2 linked regions of the Ovis aries genome follow. The protein of the gene in region 2 purifies or fractionates together with the protein of the main gene of each other region. This does not show direct contact. Links are inferred from orthologs where the notes say so. Each region holds a gene or a part of one and is shown on either strand. Other genes may lie near its edges. The genes, in order: LCP2 and FYB1.

Region 1 (3,824 bases), about 33 Mb from region 2:
CAGTTAAATGACTTATGCTATGTCATAAACTAAGAAATAGATGAAAAATAGAATTATTTTTCTGTTTAATGTGAAACACACATTTGCCATTGGAAGAGGAACATCAAGGAAAAAGAATATTTTTCAACTGAATTCTCCCCTCAATATTTTTCACTAAAAAAATTAAGAGTAAAAGAAAATAAAAGTATAGGAGACTATTCAGTGGAAGATTCTGATGATTCGTTTGCTGGTGTAGAAATAAAATAGGAACATATGCCTTATTACCTGTTCTTCCCCAGGGGACTGTGGTCTAGGTTTGCTGGGAACTGGCGAGAAGTTCCTGCCTTCCACTCTGGGAAGTGGTCTGTTGAGGGGGCCTTTGAAAGTATAGCATTTTGAACGTTAATTTACTTTAAGCAATTTTTCACTAGTCATAGCCCATCACTGCCCGCCCTCCACAATGCCCTTGCCATTGTTCCCAGCAATTAACGTTTCAAGAAACCACAGCTTCCAAAATAACTTTCACTTGTTCAAAACCACAAGGGCTGTTTCGGGCCCTATTCTGCAGCCATGCCAGTGAAATTCTGAGACACTACACCGCACACTTGATTGGTTGCTTAACTGAGCAAGTTACATATATACCACCAAATGGTAAAATGTGGAGGTCAGGATAATTATGTTCTCATTTTCACAACAAGACATGTGACTTACCCAAGATGAGGTGAAATTACCTTGAATATTCTTAGATTTCAGAGCCAGAGCTTACTACCTGCTGTTCTTGACCAAATTTCTTTTAGAAGTAGAACTGTTAGACTCACATAGAAGGAGGCCCTGACAGTATCTGATCCATCAGGAAGCCTGTGTCGGAGTCTGTAAATTACCCAGCATTTGTGCCTCATCTTCTCTAATGCTTTTTTTTTTCCTTGTTGACAGTTCCATGAAATTTTTCAAGAGAATGTGTTTCCTAATCTCAGGGAAGGTTTGATTGTGTTGATTTGCAGTTGCTAAACCTGTCTCTATATGCCAGAACAGCTATTTCAGGCTGGTAAAGTCCGTGAGTTGAATGTTCTCTTAACAATTCATGCATCACTCATTTGTTCATTCAACAGATATTTTTTCAGCACTGCTGTGTCCAGGCCCTGAATAAGACACCTGTGTGCATGACCTTTCATCCTCACAGCAACTCCACAAGGTGGGTATTGTCTTCTTTTTGAATATCATGAAACAAAGATTCAGAGAGTCTAAACAAATCATGTGTCTTAGTGGCAGAGCCAGAACTTGAGCTTGTGGTTCCCAAATATGACTGTGCGTAAAAGAGAATTCCAGGGGGACCCTGAATCACCCAGGCTCAAGAATCTGCCTTTAACAAGCACTCCAGGTGGTTCTGCACCAGCTCTGTTACTTCATCTAATACATCTAATACACCACAGAGGGTAAATCGCCTGCCCCAGGGCCCCTGAGAGGGGAGAGTTACTTGAAGAGTCCAAGTCTTCCTAGTCAGGATTATTCGAGATGCAGATGGGGCTAGCCTGAGCTGCTGATCTTCCTTCTTAAGGCTCCCAGTGCCTGAGCAGACCTTCCGCATGACAATCTCTGCAGTGCAACATTGTATAATGCTTGCTGAGTGAGTGAGATCTAGCTACGTGAGAAAGTCATGCAATGAAGGTCTACAGGGCATGGCTGTCTTAGAACTGAGGAATTATTCTCCATCTGCATCTGCAGGTCAGCACCACAAAGTCACTGTTCATGACAGACAACATATTACTTTTCATTGCAGTCACCCTCCACCCTTAATAAATAGATCCTCAAGGGAACTGGCACAGGTTTTTGGCCAATATAAAGCACATGCTTTATCTTCCTGACCTTGGGGAACCAGTGGGTTAGACTGAGGACCAGGTGTCCTGGCACTCTTGGGAGAAAAGGGATCGATTTTGATTAAGGTAGTAGAGTGAGCCCTCTGCGTTCATGGCTTCCGCATCGGTGAATTCAGCCGACTACAGACTGGTTCAACCAATGGGTTAGCCAGGTCTGTGGATGTGGAGCTGTGGATGTGAAGGGCCAACTGTGCGACATCATTTTATACAGAGAACTTGAACATCCTGGGATTTTGTTATCAGTGGGGGGTCCTGGAACCAATCCCCCCTCCTGTATTAGAGGGATGATTATATTCAAAAAAATAATAAAAGCCAACTGTTTATATTAATAATCTCTGTCACCAACTCATAGAAGCAGGGGTCTATGGAATTTACTTTGGCAGATACTGCTATAAGTGAAGTGTCTCAAGCTCAGATGCCTGGACGGACCAGGCTAGGGACACAAAGTAGGTTTACAAAATAATGAGTTGTGGCCACTGAGGGGTGGGGGGAGTTGTGGAAGCCATGTAGTGAATAAGGACACTATATCCTAAAATGCTTAGGAAACATTGAAAATACAGTGGGTTTCATTGGTGTCAGCAGTAGAATCTCATACATATATGGCATGATGTACCCAACTGAATGTAATAGACATGCCCCTAAAAGAAAGAGTCGACTCTTAAGTGAAAATTTAAACTTATTAGTTTTCTGTTTATAACACAAACTAATGTTCCTGCATGTGTACATGACTACAAAAAAAAAAAAGTGTTTTATTTTTTCCTCACAGAATTTTTAAATCTTAAGTCAATCTTTAAAAATTAGGTAATTTCACATTGAAAGCCATATTTCTATGTTTTCTTGAAAAATAAATCAGAAAATCTGGTAACACAAGATGTGTTTTCTAGCATGAGAAGAAAAAATTGTTTACTAGAGTTGGGTGACTCTCCATAGTCATTTGACAGTCATTCAACAAATGTTTTAAAGTGCTTACCATGTACTAGTCACTTGCAAGTCCTTAAGGATAGAAAATAAACACAGCTAGTCCTACTGGGTAGGCCTTTGTTTCTACTTGAAGTGGTCCATGAACCAGCAATACCAGCTGGGAACTTGGAACTTGGGAATCACATGGAAACTTGCTGGAAATGCAGAACCCTGGGTCCCATCCAAGACCCACTGATTAGAATCTGCATTTTAACATAGCTCCCAGGGGATTTGCGTGCCTTTTAAAGTTTGAGGACTCTCTCAAGAAATACTTACCATCGACACCCAAAGGAAATATTATTAGAAAATACAGGTCTTCAGCCAGACTTACTGTATCAGAATCCTGGGGGTTGGGGGTCCCTTAATCTGTATTTTAAACATGTTCCTCAACTAGCACTCCAGGTTAGATTCATTATAGAAATCTAAACTACAGAGAAAGCTAGCACCATCCTAAGCATCATATAAAAACAGCCGGGAAGAAAAGTTCCGCCTGGGAAGATAAAGCCAAGGGCGCCTTCCTGCGGAGGAGTGTGTGTGTCTGTGTGTTGTTTTTGTTGTTGTGTGGAGTATCCTATCACTACAGCAACCTTTGGTACACTTCAGAAACCGAAGTGCTGAATAATGAAGTCGGATGCTTTTAGGAAACAACAAAACTTTTGCCGAAAGGCTTTGGGACGACGGCATATGGGCTAGAGTCGGTCACTAGAGCGCAGAGAACAAACCTTGAGAGAAGCATGGCGGCAGGGAGGCGCTCTGCGGAAAGGTAGGGTTGCTGTGGAGACAAAAAAGAACAGATGTGAAGTTGGGTCGGGCTTAAGGCGTCAGAGAGGGACCTGAATTGGGGAAATGCTGCTTCTCTGACTCTTCTCACCCCCTCCCTGAAACCACGGGGGCAGGGCAAAAAGAAGGAACTTGCTGGACACACTTCACTCCTGTCTCAGGAAGACCAGGCCGGAGTCTAACGAGCTTCTCAAGATGAAGAACAAAAGCAAGAACAGAACAGTGGAAAGA
Region 2 (4,319 bases):
CACAAACGTTAATGGCCATTATTATTATCTTCCTGTGTTCACTAGGAGTCGTTATACCTCCTTAGGAAATCATTTATTTGGGGCTGGAAAGAAAGAATCCAATATTCGTTCAGTGTCTGGCGGCTGCCTGCACTTTAATGGGTGCTTTATAATTGCAATCTTATTTACTCTTCAAAACAACCTTTCAAGATACTGTCATAATCATCTTCATCATTTTTGGATAAAGAAACAAACTCAGAGCTTAAGTGACTTATGAAAAAACCATGCAACTAGAAAGCAGAGAATGAGTAGATAGAAATACAGTCTTTGACTGATCTATGACGTCTCCCAAGGAGAAAAAGTAGAAGAGTTTTTTCCTTCCTTTTATATGCTACCTGCCTTTCTGCAACTTGTTATAGAATGTCAGAGGCAATGTTGGGGAGAGAGAAACTAAAGGAAATCTACTTCCTTTTCAAGTAAAACCTTGATAAGCTACAAAGATAGGCATCATATAGCTTATTGCAACTGGGAAATTCATGCACCATGACACTATACAGTTTTGTTGTTTAGTTGCTAAGTTGTGTCCAACTCGTTTGCAGCTCCATGGACTGTAGCCCATCAGGTTTCTCTGTCCATGGGATTTCCCAGGCAAGAATACTGGAGTGGATTGCCATTTCCTTCTTCCTGACCCAGGGATTGAACCTGCATCTCCAGCATTGGCAGGCAGATTCTTTACCACTGAGTCACTAGGGAAGCCCTCACTATATAGTAGGTAAAATTAAAATATGTTGCTTTACAAGAGGGTAACTTGGTTAAAAGTCGAAATATATGTTTTTTTTTTTTTTAAATCTACCTATTCTTTTAGCATTTCTTGCAATGGAAAATAATTAGGCAACAAATGTAAATGAATGTTTGTGATAGTCTTATCTGTATGACTGTAAAGAAAGTAAAATAAAACAAAAAACAATCTCAATGTCCAACTATATGGAACCGATTAAAATAAATTACAGAATACAATGCAGTCACTAAAAATGATTCATTATTAAAATGGTTTCATAACTCAGATATTATTCAAGATATTTTAAATTAGAAAGCAGATAAGGGAATGGTTTATAAAGTATGATAGTACTTATAAAAAATTATATTTATAAAATACATTTTAAATGACAAAATTCTAGAAGGATCTATACTAATTTAGCAATGATTGCCCCAGGTGATAGAACTATAGAAAATATGTATTGTGTCATTTCCGCATGTCTATATTTCTAAGAAATTTTCTTTAATAATGTGTTACTTTTACAATAAGATTGTGCTCTCTTAAGAAAACATTATGTAGGACATTAAACACACTATCCAATTAAACCTTTCTTTTTTTCTTCTATTGCTGTCTTGTGTTCCCTAAGAAAATTCAAATAACCCTGTAAATCACAATGCCCTCACTTATTTTTGAAGAGAATATGGCAATTAACATCAAGATCTTTTCTAAGAATCCTAGATCTGCAGGCGGAGTTTGGAAACATTAGTGATAGTCGTTCAGTAGTATCCGACTCTTTGCAACCCCATGGACTGAAGCCCACCAGGCTCCTCTGTCCATAGCATTTCCCAGGCAAGAATACTGAAGTGGGTAGGGATCAAACCCAGGTCTCTTGCATTGCAGGCAGATTCTTTACCATCTGAGCCACCTCTGTACTTTCCCCATTTTGGCTCATAAGATTTCAGACTACAAACTCATGCCATGAATTCTTTACCCTGTTCATTCCAGTGCCTACAGAGTGCACTCTCTACCCCCACCAAGTACCTGTAGGGATCATCGCCTTGTCCCCATTTTCCCACTGGGAGGTGGCAAAGGCCGTCATCTTCTCTATAAGAAGAGATTTCTCAGTCACAAAATCATGTTCGACTCTGATCCCATGGACTGTAGCCCACCAGGCTCCTCTGTCCATGGAATTCTCTAGGCAAGAATACTGGAGTGGGTTGCCGTTTCCTTCTCCATAAGGAGAGAAGGGGTAACAAATTTCTAGTCTTGTACAAGCTGGAGAGTTGGGGAAAGTCGTGTGGAATTAAAAAGTTATCTCTCTTCTGGACTTTGGGCATCTAAGAACACCACATGTATGAGAACACAGTCAATTACACAGAGAAATAATAGGAAACTAGCAGAATATTAGTGCTATTGTTTAGGTTCACTATGGGTTAAGCTAGTTTTTATAGTACCCTGGGAACCCAGTCATGATTTTAAGTGTGCTCCACATAAGGATTTTCTATTAACTTTGGAACACAAACTGTCCCTAAGATTTGGACTATTTGGATTTTGTTTGCTTCTCTTAACTAAAATAATAAAATTCATTTTTTTTCCTCTTTCTTTTTTTAAATTTTAGTTTTTGTCCATGTTGTAGGAACATGTGGGCTCTTCGTTCCCAGACCAGGGATTGAACATGCACCTAGAGGTGCGTAGTCTTTACAACTGGACCACCAGAGAAATCCCCTAAACTGCATTTTTCTAAACAAAAGAACTCCTCTTGTAAAACTTCACTATGTTGTCAAAACTACCCTCGTCTTCAGCGATATTGCCCAATGTATATCGCTGGAGTTTTCTTCAGGTTTTTAAAGTGCTCATGAAAGGAAACTTGATTGCACTGTGGTTCTAAACCAACCATCTTAAGAAGCAAAGACAAAGAATGTAGCTTTTCTTTCTTTAAGGCGTAACTCTTCCCCTGTTCAGAGGCCAGAATCAGAAAAGGGAACTCCTGCGGCCACAGGCTCTCAACTGGTATAATAATGCCTTAGCAACTTTATTAACAAAGGGAACGAAGATGAGATAAGCAAAAATTCCAGAGGCTCAGAGGACCTGCCCGTAAGGCACACCCGGCCCTCTCTGCTCTATGTAGAAAAGATCAGATGTTTGCTAGGAGACCAAGGAGAGTCATAAAATCTATTACTTACCATTTTTTTATGAAAGAGTTGATGTGCGTGGCACACAGCGACTCCGAAGATGCTGTAACTCGGACAGTGAATGTGCAAGTTAGCTATGCAGACGGTACTTCCTTTTTTGAACCCTGTGGTCTGTCCAGTTTTCACACATTGATATATAAGGTTTATTTGCATGTTATCTCAGCCCTCAGAACATTTGTGTAACTGGCCAGGTTTATCCAGTTACTATGCCTTACTGATTGATATGAAAACAGCTACAGGTAGAGCTTTGAAGTCTTAAAGATTGACACAGAAGTTTTTTTAAAGTGTCTGAATAGTAAATTCTGTATATGTTACTAACCCATTTTATATATAAAATGAGTTTGTAGAGGATTCATATTAACATGTTAACAGTGGTTGACTTCAGTGGTGAATAAATAATAATATTTATTATTATAAATAATCCTTGTTTTGTACTTTGCCGACTTTTTGACTTTTCAATTTTGAGTATATAATACTTGTTTAAAACAACTATAATCTTAAAAAGAACAAAATTATAATGATAATTTTAATCATCAATTTCAATGCATTTAAATCTATCTCATCAATATTTAAATGCAGAATATGTTTTAACCTTATCATAGGATGTTATTCATTTCATTAAAAACATAAAGTACATAACAGTCTAGGTTCATGCGTTAATTTTTTGGTAATATTTGTTAGCAACTGACATCTTAATTTGGGGTTGCAAATTTCTAGATCTTGTGTATATTATCATGTTAACCTAGAAGAGGGGCGTCAATTTTTTTTGTTTGATCCTGAACTAATAGTAATTACTATCATGACAATAAAAATTCTTTAGTAAGTGGATATTTCCTTTTATTTATTTATTAAACAAAAATGTTTTTCAAAATTGAGATGTGGGTAGAAATATGGATAGAACCATTGCTAGGACAAGACAGAAAGGCAGAGCAGGGGTCAGTTCCCAGAGGTAGAAAGGAATTTGAGATTGCCTTGAAACTGTAGGTGTTTTTAAAATGGGGCTTGAGGATACTCAGGAGCTAGGAGAGTAGTCAGAAATTATACTGTCCCTGGCACATCGTAAGTACTCAATGAATGAATAGAGGAGGAAGATCAAGGCAAGACAGGTATGAGAAAACTAGGCATTTTTTTTTAGACAATAAGACATTGCCAGAAGACCTTGAAATGGAGACATTCTTTAGCATAACCAGGAAGCCTCTCATTCACTATCTGTTGAAACACTACAAATTAGGTTCTTTTTTATTTTTTTATTTTTATTTTTATTTTATTTATTTATTTATTTATTTTTTTAAATTTTTTAAATTTTAAAATCTTTAATTCTTACATGCATTCCCAAACATGACAAATTAGGTTCTAAAGCAGAAGCTTTTCACCTGGCAGCCCATTAAAAT

Evidence for each region.
Region 1: the proteins of FYB1 (region 2) and LCP2 purify together in Homo sapiens (co-immunoprecipitation; 6 studies listed by BioGRID and IntAct, with this or other methods). This does not show direct contact. The link is inferred for Ovis aries from reciprocal best matches to the Homo sapiens genes FYB1 and LCP2.

Annotation. Positions count from the first base shown.
Region 1 is NC_056069.1:2,324,779-2,328,602, forward strand, and holds part of LCP2 (lymphocyte cytosolic protein 2), read right to left. Parts: intron 3,586-3,824; coding exon 3,536-3,585; intron 357-3,535; coding exon 265-356; intron 1-264. UniProt on the Homo sapiens protein: Adapter protein primarily involved in signaling pathways within T-cells, as well as other immune cells such as platelets, mast cells, and natural killer (NK) cells.
Region 2 is NC_056069.1:35,337,114-35,341,432, reverse strand, and holds the start of FYB1 (FYN-binding protein 1), read right to left. Parts: upstream 2,981-4,319; 5' UTR 2,923-2,980; coding exon 2,920-2,922; exon of another isoform or gene 1,778-2,919; intron 1-1,777. UniProt on the Homo sapiens protein: Acts as an adapter protein of the FYN and LCP2 signaling cascades in T-cells. May play a role in linking T-cell signaling to remodeling of the actin cytoskeleton. Modulates the expression of IL2. Involved in platelet activation.